3 linked regions of the Solanum lycopersicum genome follow. Each later gene encodes a partner of the first gene's protein in a complex. Links are inferred from orthologs where the notes say so. Each region holds a gene or a part of one and is shown in the gene's direction. Other genes may lie near its edges.

What was found.
Region 2: protein RTF1 homolog (region 1) and protein LEO1 homolog share a complex: the UniProt entries of both Arabidopsis thaliana proteins name them as parts of the nuclear PAF1 complex. The link is inferred for Solanum lycopersicum from reciprocal best matches to the Arabidopsis thaliana genes VIP5 and VIP4.
Region 3: protein RTF1 homolog (region 1) and protein PAF1 homolog share a complex: the UniProt entries of both Arabidopsis thaliana proteins name them as parts of the nuclear PAF1 complex. The link is inferred for Solanum lycopersicum from reciprocal best matches to the Arabidopsis thaliana genes VIP5 and ELF7.

Annotation. Positions count from the first base shown.
Region 1 is NC_090801.1:59,437,488-59,441,660, forward strand, and holds the start of protein RTF1 homolog, read left to right. Parts: upstream 1-1,337; 5' UTR 1,338-1,525; exon of another isoform or gene 1,526-1,596; intron 1,597-2,050; 5' UTR 2,051-2,076; coding exon 2,077-4,014; 3' UTR 4,015-4,173. UniProt on the Arabidopsis thaliana protein: Component of the PAF1 complex (PAF1C) which is involved in histone modifications such as methylation on histone H3 'Lys-4' (H3K4me3). Involved in regulation of flowering time.
Region 2 is NC_090802.1:61,882,129-61,885,780, reverse strand, and holds part of protein LEO1 homolog, read left to right. Parts: coding exon 1-98; intron 99-1,111; coding exon 1,112-1,243; intron 1,244-2,083; coding exon 2,084-2,263; intron 2,264-2,349; coding exon 2,350-2,481; intron 2,482-2,726; coding exon 2,727-2,837; intron 2,838-2,922; coding exon 2,923-3,159; intron 3,160-3,652. UniProt on the Arabidopsis thaliana protein: Component of the PAF1 complex (PAF1C) which is involved in histone modifications such as methylation on histone H3 'Lys-4' (H3K4me3). Involved in regulation of flowering time. Required for the expression of the flowering repressor and MADS box gene FLC.
Region 3 is NC_090802.1:66,089,484-66,093,583, forward strand, and holds the start of protein PAF1 homolog, read left to right. Parts: upstream 1-1,181; 5' UTR 1,182-1,699; coding exon 1,700-2,613; intron 2,614-3,254; coding exon 3,255-3,323; intron 3,324-4,100. UniProt on the Arabidopsis thaliana protein: Component of the PAF1 complex (PAF1C) which is involved in histone modifications such as methylation on histone H3 'Lys-4' (H3K4me3). Involved in regulation of flowering time.

The DNA of each region.
Region 1 (4,173 bases):
GAATGTGAAATCCTATTTTATTATAAATACTTAATATCTTAAGCTTAATTTATTATAAACATAGAATAAAGAAAACTACTCCAAGCTTTATTGTAAACGCTGATTCCTAAAAATTATTCTCACAATACAAGAAGCTTTACATATTGACAAAAATTAATTTTGAAATATGTATATAGAGAGATAAAGAAATTACTATTAGCCAGCAATGTAAAAAAAATCATACACGCTGAAGAAGTTTTCTTTTGAAATCAGTGATAATGAAGATAAGAAAAATATTTCGTTTGAATATTTTGTAGAATAAAGAAATTACTAATACATCTATTTTTATTTAAGTGAATTTAATACGCATATAAGCAAAAAGATATTAAATAACGTAAATTTTCTATACTTATAAAATGAAAAATCGGTGAGAAATTTAAGAAGCAATAAGTGTTTTTAAATTAAGATAAAAAAAAAAGTTCATCGTTTACAACCAAAACTTGATAGAGCAATGTAAATTTTGGACACATCTCCAAAACTTAGCCTATTATTATTTCTTTAAAAGAAACGAGACATATATAACTATAATGAATGAACTGATTTGAATTTTTTATTCCTATAACTCTTTTTATAAAAAAAAAATATGTCCTCTTGTTAGCTCTGTAACTAGAAATGACTTATTATAGTAATCAATTATATAACTCATATCTGAAATATTTTGCATAAATCACAAATATGAGGCCAAATTTTATTATTCCCCTTGAAAAATACTAAACCTTCACATTAATAAAGTTTGGTTTTAAAAATAATCCACATAAAAGGGCTACATAACCCAATGTCATCATACTTACGTGTATTATTAATCAATTCGATTGAAGAGCATATAATAATATTTTAAATTGGTGTATTTCAGTTAAAATTCTGAAATAGCAAAGCCTTGGGTCAAAATGACACTTGGTTCAGTTATTTTAATTAAAATTAAAATATTTTTTTGAAATATGAAATGTATGCGAATAAAGGAGAAATTTCATGAAAAGAAAATTAATGATTTATATAAATCGCTTAGTGAAAAATGTTCTGAATAAATCCAACGAGTAACTAATAATTCTGTTATAAAAAAAAATAGTATATAAAAAGTAGAATAATATCACTAGATTTTTGATAGTTGCTTAAACATTTTGTTAGATTATTTTTTCGTAAAAAGTAGCATTTTTGAGGTCTCATTTGGCTAGTCAATCCTACTAAATTGGCTAATATTTTAAGTTTGAAGCTTCATCGTTAAATTATTTTATTTTATTTTGTATTATAACAACTTAAAACTATATTATCCAAATTATCGCTACGATTGTAATTAGATACCAAAGTACAGTTGTTTACAAAATTTATTACTCAAAAGGAAATAGCCCAAGCCCAATTTCTTTCTGATGTCAATTTAAAAATAAAAAAAGTGGATCTTAACCCAAACGGATATTTCCTGCTGTGCCCTAATTTGTTTTTTTTTTTTTTTCATTTCTCTCCGGCGAACTCCTTATCGGCGAGATCAATTGTATGTATCTAATTCTTCTCTCCGGCAAACTTGTTTTCATTTCTGTTATTCCTTTGGCGATTATGTTAATGGTAAAATTTTTGCTTGATTGAACAGAAATTTGAAATTTTATAATGATTGAAAGAGTTGAATGGATCTGAATCAATGTTTACCTGATTATTTGCTCATTGGCATAGTTTAGTTCTGTTGTTCTATTTTATTCTGTATCCAGACTTAGGGTTTGTATTTGATGTTTTTGAGTTTTGACTGAGAGTTTTATGTTTCCTTGTTTGGTGGTTTTGTTGTTCTCCTTTCGTTTTATAGTCAAATTGATTGTTGTTATGTTTATAATTTGTCGAAATTGCTGATTTTTTTGAAGTTGTCGTTCAGCAAATTGTTTTTGAGTTTTGACTGAGAGTTTTATATTTCCTTGTTTGGTGGTTTCGTTGTTCTCCTTTCGGTTAATAGTCACATTGATTGTTGTTGTGTTTATAATTTGTCAAAATTGTTGATTTTTGCGTGGTTTTTGAATTTGTTGATATTCAGCAAGTGGCTGAGTGGAATAGAAGACCATGGAAGAAGAGTTAACTGATTTACTGTTGGAGGCTGCTGGTAGAACAAATACTGGTGGAAGGAATCGTCCACCTCATTCATCTAAAAGACATCACAAGAGTTCATATTCTGATGATGGAAGTGATTCCAGGGATGATGACTCTGATGATGGTCGTGGGTATTCAGGTCGAAAGCTTTCTGGTTCACAAGTTCCTCTCAAGAAGAGATTGGACCCTCAAGAAAGAGATGATGATCATAGCAGCCATGGAGAAGGCAATGATGGAGATGGTTATGGCAATGAGAGTGATGATGATTCTATTGGCAGTGATCTTTACAAGGACGATGATGACCGGCAAAAGCTTGCTCAGATGACTGAACTGGAAAGGGAAATGATATTGACTGATCGTGCAGCGAAGAAATCTGACAGGAGTCTGCATGACAAAATGATCAAGGATCGGGCCCAACCAAGGAAACAAAGCTCACCTCCTTCACATTCTCGTGGCATGCGCTCATCAACAAGAGCTTTGGATAGGGCAGCTGACAGAGATGATGCATTGAATGAGATACGAGCAAAACGAGCAAGACAGCAGCAGGATCCCGAGGGTCAATTCAAGCTGAGGGATGCAGCTAGAAAAGGTTCTGGAAGCAGGGGCTATTCACCTATCAAACGTAGAAGTTTTACAGCTGCATCTCTAGGTAGCAGTCCTACCAGGGGAGAAAGTGATTCACATAGTAATGAGGGAGATTCATCAGCTGATGATGGAATGGATGACAGTGATGATGACAAGTCATCACCGGAGTCACAGTTGCCAACATTTGAGGATATAAAAGAAATCTCTATTCGTCGTTCAAAACTGGCAAAATGGTTTATGGAGCCCTTCTTTGATGAGTTAATTGTGGGTTGCTTTGTAAGAGTTGGCATTGGGAGGTCAAGGTCTGGTCCTATCTATAGGCTCTGTGTGGTCCGCAATGTTGATGCTTCAGATCCTAATCGACAATACAAGCTAGAAAATAAAACCACATCCAAATTTCTAAATGTTGTTTGGGGCAATGAAAACTCTGCTGCTAGGTGGCAGATGGCTATGATTTCAGACTCTCCTCCTCTGAGGGATGAGTTTGATCAGTGGGTAAGGGAAGTAGAACGAAGTGGTGGTCGTATGCCTAGTAAGCAAGATGTGTTGGAAAAAAAAGAGGCCATACAGAAATCTAACACATTTGTTTACTCTGCTGACACTGTAAAGCAGATGTTGCAGCAGAAAAAATCTGCAACATGGAGGCCACTTAATGTTGCTGCTGAGAAGGATCGTTTGAGAAGGGATATGGAAGTGGCCAAAATGAAGAATGACGAAGCAGAAGTGGAGAGGATTAAGGCAAGACTGCAGGAACTGGAGGATAGCAGGAAGGTTCAAGAGAAAGATGACAAGGCCCGCAGGCTGGCTGAGATGAACCGGAAGAATAGGGTCGAGAATTTCAAAAATGCATCAGAACTCAGACCAGTGAATCAACTGTTGAAAGCTGGTGAGGCTGGGTATGATCCCTTCTCTAGAAGGTGGACTAGGTCTACAAATTATTTTGCAAAAGGTGCATCCAATGGTGAAGCTGCTGCAGCAGCAGCATTGGCAGCTGAAGATAACAATGGGGCTGGTGGAACTGCTGACGGAGGAATGGCAGCTACAGCAGCAGCCTTGCAGGCTGCAGCAGGCGCTGGGAAGTTGGTGGACACAAATGCTCCTGTAGATCAAGGAACAGAATCAAATACGCTACATGATTTCGATCTGCCTATCTCGTTGGCTGTGCTTCAGAAGTTTGGAGGGTCTCAAGGAGGCCAAGCAGGATTTATGGCTCGCAAACAGAGGATAGAAGCAACTGTTGGATGTAGCGTTCCGGAGAACGATGGCAGAAGACATGCACTAACTTTAAGTGTTAGTGACTACAAGAGAAGGAGAGGACTCCTTTGAGATTTACTGCTTTTGTTGTTTAGCCAAATGAATTGTTGTTACTGGGGATTCATGTACTAGCTGTGAATTAAGAGTACAGTTACTGCTATATTAAAATATGTTGAGACTTTTCTTGAATTTATGCTTCTATAGCAAAGACCTGGTTAACCAGGGGTCTTT
Region 2 (3,652 bases), on another chromosome or scaffold:
CTTTCGTGACTGATGAATCTGGATCCAAGAAGCGCCTCAGCTTAGTTAACAACATTGTTCGATGGAGGAAAGTTAGGAAGCCTGATGGCACGACAACTGTAAGTGAATTATATTTCTCCAAAAAGAAAACTGCAAGTGAATTTTGAATAAACTCATTTATACATATATGCTTGGGGATGGATCATAAAATCATCTCATCTTGATTCATCAGTGTAAGTTGAGCTCTATGGCTCAACAACTGTATGTGAATTTTACACTTGTTTATGTTGCGTGCTTGATTCATCAGTATAAGTTGAGCTATACGGCATGGGTTGTCTGATGATGCTAGGAGACTTTCTTATTTTACAAGAAATGGAACTTTTGTTGTTCTGAAGTACTAATTCCACATAATAATTAAAATTATCAAAATGTTAATGGATGGATAAATTCGAGAGTGTGTCCTAGTGGTCAAAGAAGTGGGTTCTGAAAGGGGTTCTCGGGTTCAAAATCTCAATCCCAACTGAAGCATGATCTTTTTGCGGTTCACAACTGTCCAAGCCCCGGGGGAAGAGTTATGAGTAGCAAGTACTCGTGGAATCTGTCAAGGTGCTTGCAAGCTGACTAAGAATCACAGTTATAATGTGACAAGCACAAAAGGGAAAAAAGAAGAAACAAAAGGCATAAGGTAACATCAAATGAACATGAAATCAAGAAAACGAGGAGGTACAATAATAGGTTATGTGTCTAGTCTTTCTTACAAAAACCTAATAGGTTATCTTGAATTTAATGTATTCGGTGGCTGGTCAAATAGTGTTGATGTCTATGTTGGAGCTAAAGCTTTCAACGCTGGACTATGAAATGACAAGTAAAATCCTCCTCCAGCAAAAAAAGAGTAAGGATTATGTCTTAAAGGAAACATTGTGTTTTGGTCATAGAGACTGACATAGAAAGTAGAAACAGATACTTGCATGTCTATATAACTCTACAAGGTGGACTGCTTGTTAGTTATTTATCATTGATCATACTTAAATAACACTTTAATATTTATGTGAGTTTGGATTCACAGATCAAGAAAATTTCTGATTCATTTAGCATTTCTTGCTACTGACTGAATGGATGTTTCTGTATGTAGGTAGAAAGCAATGCTCGCTTTGTGGAATGGTCTGATGGCAGTGTGCAATTAATGATCGGAAATGAAGTTCTGGACATATCTACCCAAGATGCGCAGCAAGATCATTCACACCTGTTTCTTAGACATGGAAAGGTGAATCTCATGTCTATTGTCATATATGATGCAAAATCCTAGTTACTTTGGCTGAGAAATTTCTTGGAAAATAGTGGTCCTATCTTCAAATCAGCAGACAATTTTTTTTTTTTAACAAACAATTATTTATCCAGAACAGTACTTTAGGTAGTGCTGTAACCATATTTACCAAATGGACTCTAGAATGCTTCTATCTCTGTCTATAATGAATCAAGTACATCAATAATAGACACAGAATCATTAAGAGTATAACTGGTTACACCTAAAACAGATCAGCAAGATAAATTTAAGCTTGATCTTCTGCACTTCATTTTCTACACCTTCATAGCATCTGTTGTTCCTCTCCTTCCACATTGTCAACCACATGCATGCTGGGATGAGTTTCCACCTACACCTATTTTTAGCTATAATCCTACTTCATCCCAGCTTCTGAGAAGTTCAGAAACCTTGCCTGGCATGACCCATGTTAGGCTTTAAAGGTTCAAAATAATACTCCATAACCTGCCTGCGACTTGCAATGAAGAAATAAGTTGTTGACTTTCTCGGCAGTCTCCTTGCACAAATCTCCTTGAACACATGTGAATTCCCCTCTTAATCTGTCCCTACATTGTGCTTATCTTTCCTTGCCACCTGAAGACTCCTTTCCCTTCAACTTTTCAGACAGTTTGCCAGTTTCCTCCCTCAACCTGTGATCTTTATTCCTTTTACAAAAGTTAGGCTGCATGTCTCCCTCTTATTATTGAATACTATTAAATTTTTCTTATCTCAATACCTATAGTCTATGTACTTTATGAAACATTTATTGCATTGTGATCCTTAGCATAAACACCCAACTCGCAGGGAATACTACAATCACAAGGGAGAATTTTAAACAAGATGAGGTTTATGCCTTCATCATTGACATCAAACTCGCACCGTTTATTGACTGCCCTTGTTGATTCACGTCATAAGAAAGTTTACAAAGTGAAGAACTGTTTCACCGACATTGACCCTGAGAGGGAGAAAGAGCAAAAGGAGAAGGTAAAATTGATGAGTAATGGATTTTATTTTGCTCTTGGTACGTTGTAGCTGATAAGTTGACTCTGACTTTCTTTTTGTCTATGAAGGCTGAAAGCCAAACAATCAGGGCAGGTGTACTCCTCAATCGGAAAAAGGAGAAGGTCAGCCGAAAATACATGCCTACGTTACGTAGGGAGCGCCAACTCTCTCCTGGTTTCTTGGAGGATGGGCCTGAGGAGGTTAGATATATATTTTTTCATTTGTCATGCATATTGTAGGAAAGCGTTATTCAGTGGCATGATATATTGAAACCTCCTGATTCCTGCTTGCTCTGAAGTGGGTGAATTATCTGTTAAACACGTTTTAATGTTTATTTAAGTGTTGCCTTGTGGAAGACATTAGTTGAACTACTCAGCATTTCATAAGAAAAAGTTGCCACTCTGATCTTTCCTATCTGCCTATTGGAATTTTCTCCCATCATCAGGAAGAGGATACTGATTACTATGACTCTCGACGGTCTGCTGCTCGCCGTCGCTTTGATGAAGACTTAGAAATGGAAGCTCAAGCTGAGAAACGAATCATTAATGCAAAGAAGGTGCAGAAGTCAAGTGGAATCAAAGAAATTTCTTGTTATTTTTTGCTACTTTATCGGCTAACATGAAGATTCTCCCCTTTGTCAGAAAGATATTCCTAGGCAAACATCATTGTCTGCTCCAAAGCATTCTCGACGCCCTGTTGATTTTGATGACAGCGAGAAGGAGGAGTCTGAGTATGAAACCGAAGAGGAAGAAGAGGAGGAAGAGAGGTCTCCACCACGTAGAAGGGCTGTCCAGGAGGAGCCGGAATATGAAGAAGAGCAAGAGCGTGATCAGGGTGAGGAGGAAGAAGCATATGATGAAGAGTCGGAACAGGAGGAGGTAGGAAGCTGTTCTTCATATTCTAGTAATAAACCATCTGAATCTTCTTGATCATGTGTTGCATTTAATTAATAGGTAACTGTGAGAAGCTTAAACTTTTACTGGGAAATTCCTTACTTTTGTTTGGTATTTCTTAATCTGCCTGTTTTAAACTCTTGTCCCAGTACTGTTGTAAACTTTCTAGACACATAGGCCTTCTCATATTGGTTAGTGAGATGGTTCAACAAGATTTGTTTAGTGCTCGACTCTGCATGCCATATTCCTGGGAATACGTGTCAGATGTTCTCTGCCAGTAATTTGTTTGAGAATAATTTTATAAACATGTTGGTCAGGGTAAGGCTTCCTCAGCTGGACTTTCTGAGTAAGACCTTAATGATTGCTAAATATGTTGGTGAGACTTTCAAGACCAAATGGGCTGCTTGCCGTATGACCATATCCCTTTCCCTTACATTTTTGCCGCAACTTGGTGGCACTACAAGCTATCAACTGCTAT
Region 3 (4,100 bases), on another chromosome or scaffold:
TTTTAATAATAAATAAATAAATAATGTGACATGACATCTTAATAAGAGTGAGATAATGTATATTTTGTATTTAGTATAATTTGAAAAAAATAAATAAAATTGAATGATATTATAATTCTAAAACAAACATAAGTAATATTCTTAGGTAATTTCTCAAGTGACTATCGAGGAAAATTACTCACATTTCTAGCAACAACTGTTAGCCCAACAAGCTCAACTAGCCTGTGTTATATGGTTGGGAATTTGGGTAATTTTTCCACAAAATAAACTTTAGCTTTTTAATTTATAGTATGGTTTAAGCATAGTTGTATTATGCTAGCTTTCATGTTTCTCAAATCATTAAACTTTTTTAAAATTGAATAAATATCTATTTTTAATAAATTTAATATTTCGATAAATGTATTAGAAAAATGATTTTATAATTAATAATAAAAATAAATTAGAAATTAAGTGAGAAAATATCTTTTGTTTACTAAACTGAACAAGTAAAAGTGAACATTCATTTTTAGTATTATGAATAAACAGAGTCGTATGCAGGAGGGAATTATCGGGTTCATATAAACTCATGCTTCCAGTTGAAATAGTAATGTTGTATATTTTTCTTAATTTTTTGTTAAACATAAATGTGTGATCACACTTGATGTATCATATAATGCGACGATGATTGAATGCACCTCTCACTGAGATTAGAAATTTGAGTTTTATATCTAAATTGTTCTATGTTTCTTTTTAAGATTTAGTAACGTCTTTATAGGTGGATATTGATAACAATTTTTTGGCGGTTTAATTTATTAAGCATTTCAATTTTGAAACTGTAATTTAAAATTCTAACCGTTGTCACTAATAGGAATCTAACTGTAATTTAAAATTCTAACCATTGTCACTAATAAGAATCTAACTGTAATTCAAAATTTTAACTGTTTTCAGTAACAAGAATCTAAATATCAGATCTAATAGATTCGCCTTTTTATAATAATGAACTTATTATTTCGAAATCCTGAATACTTTTCTGTGAATAAATAAACATGTAAATCTCGTGTCTCGTTAGAAATTGATGTTACTCTCTTTATTCTATTCTAAAAATAGATTGTTACTTATTCTTCAAATTATTTTTCACCATTAGTAAGTGATATTAATTATCATTTTTAATTTTTAAATAATGTGCAAAATTTGAATTGGACAAGAAAAGAGTAATTTTTTCTTATATTTGGTCAAAGAAAGTTTTTTGTTTTTTTTTTGGGAAAGTTGCAAAAACATAGGCGACGGCTATATATTGGTGATGCTAACTCAAGTGCCAATTTTGCTGAGCTAAACAAACACTTTGTCTCCTACTCAAATTCCCTCTTCATGTTCCAATTGATTCCTTGTTTAATTTGAACTGCTATTCGTTTTCTCTGTGTTTCTGCTTCATTTGATTGATTCGAATTCGAATTCCATTATCAAATTTGAATTGCAGAATTGAGAAGGGGTTCAATATTGTATTGGGTTAGGTTACCCAGTTTTTGGATTTTGAGAATGCTGAATTCAATGAATTATTTGTTTTGTTTTCATTAGGGTTCTTTTGATTTGATTTTTTTTTTGTGTGTGCGCGCTATAGGTAAATCTGAAGTGGTAAGAAAGAGGATTTGTGAATTGTAGAGCTTATTTTGTGGTTCTAGGGTTTTAGTTTGCATTTGGAGGAGTTGTTGTTGAGTGTCCCATGGCTTCGTATAGGCCATTTCCTCCATCATCGCAGTCGAGTTTTGTTCCTCCGCCACCGCCTCCGCAGAATCAGAACCCTCCGCCACCGCCGTCTCAATCCAGGGGAAGTCAGTACTCGCAGAATTGGGGGGGTTATGGGGTGAATGATGGATCTTCGTATGCTCAGCAGAATTACTCTCAGGTACACCAGGGTTCAAATTATCAGCATCCTGGTTACGTTCCTCCACCTCCTGCCACCAGAAATCAGTATCCACCTCCGCCTCCTCCTCCTGCGGATTCTTCATATCCACCTCCCCCACCACCTTCTGGGCAGCCTCCTCCCCCTCCTGCTCCAATGTATTATCCATCTTCTCAGGACTCCCAGTATAGCCAAAACCATCCCTTGGAGCCCCCACCTCCACCCCCTCCACCTTCATCTCCTCCAACTTCTGCTATTCCTCCTCCTCCCCCACCTTCTCAGCCACCGTCCCCTCCGCCACCTCCTTCATCAGTTCCCCCTCAGAAACAACGTAATGAAAGCAGGCACAGTGTAGAGAAAAGGCGAGAGTCTGGTTGGCGTGAATCAAGGCATGGTAACCACACTGCTCGTTCTAAACAGCCAGACCATTCTGTTCCCCCATTGCCAATGAAAAAATCCAATGCTCATTCAGGAAGGGTTGAGACTGAGGAAGAGAGGAGGTCAAGGAAGAAGAGAGAGATAGAAAAGCAAAGGCATGAAGAGAAGAATAGGCAGCATTTGAAAGAATCACAGAATAAGGTTCTGCAGAAAACCCAAATGTTAACTTCTGGTACGAAGGGTCATGGGTCGATCAGCGCATCACATATGGCTGACAGAAGAACCACCCCTTTGTTAAGTGGAGAGAGGACAGAAAACCGGTTGAAGAAGCCGACAACATTTCTTTGCAAGTTAAAGTAAGACGTTAATTCTGGATTTACAGCCAAGTGATTGTTTGATCCTTAAATATTCCAATTATTCTATTTCTATGTTGGATTAGTTACCTGATATTTTCTAGTGTCGGCTCTGCTGGAGATTGGAGTTTTCAAACACACTGGTTGGTCGAAAGTAATGTTTAGTTTGGGATACTTCGGAATGTTACATACCATTATATGATTTGACTTTCCTTGTAATGAGACGATAAATAACCCTTTAAGCATGCAACTATAACCTTACCATTCACCCCCATAGCACATGACATCTTGTTGCGATGCTTTGAGATCCTTTTTAGTTTGTGCTTTCTTCTAGTTCTGTTCAAATTTGTTCTTGTCGGTGTGGTTTCAGTTTGGGTCGTTGTAAGGGTGAACTTTACATGTGATGTTTGTTCCCTAGGGTAGGTTGGTGATAAACTTAATGAACATCATTTATTCAAATGGTAAGTGTATTTAGTTATTTACTGAATGACTTCTCTTCTATTATGTCATGTCTTTGAAAATGTTCCTTTCTCTGTTAGGATTATTTGTGAAAAGACTATGGTATGCTATCATATGGGACAAACAAGTTGTTTTACATATTAAATATTGCTGAGCATTCTGTAATTTTTGTGTGTTCTCTGCAGATTCAGAAATGAATTACCAGATCCGACAGCGCAACCAAAGCTTTTGACTTTAAGAAGAGACCCAGATCGGTTTGTGGCTCTCCTTTCATTGTGCTGGTCCTTTCACTTGTATTTCTGATGATCAATTCAACTGCAACTGCATCTTCTGACAAAACTAGAAAAAACTAAGCAAATCATGCTCTTTATATGTAGACAAAATGGCTTATCAAAAAATATTTACACAAAATATTCCATCTAGAATGTGCACCTTTTGTGAAGGTTGTCAGGGTTAAATGAGACTTCTTTCCCAAGCACTGCTCACAAGCCTTTTGTGTTTTTCCCCTTGAACATTTTTATCGTGGATTGCTGGTTTGCTACATATGCCTAATTTGGAATTGTGCTTTAACCATCACCTCTGGTTAGTCTGATCCAGAAGTAGTTAGGCTGTCGCTGTTGGTGTGAGAATGGGACGTGGACACAGCTATATCTTCTCTCTCTTAAACTATTTTATCAAGCTGCCTACTTTGTTGATTTTCAGTTGTTGATTTTCAGTTGTTGAATAGCCTCTCTACCCTCCACAGGGTAGTGGTAAGGTTTGCACACACTTTACCATCCCTAGACCCCACTTGTGGGATTTCACTGCGTATGTTGTTGTTGTTGCACAGCATTGCCGTGCTCACTATAAATCATACTAGGCATGAATTTTTCCTAGATTGGTCTTCAATATTTGAATAATAATATTGCTATCTACCTATTAACCAATCAACTATTGTTTTTATGGTTATTGCTACATTTCTCATGTTAGATGTTAGTCATTGCAGTTATTTGATTTACATTGTTGAGCATTTAAAGTTTGAGAGCAAGGAC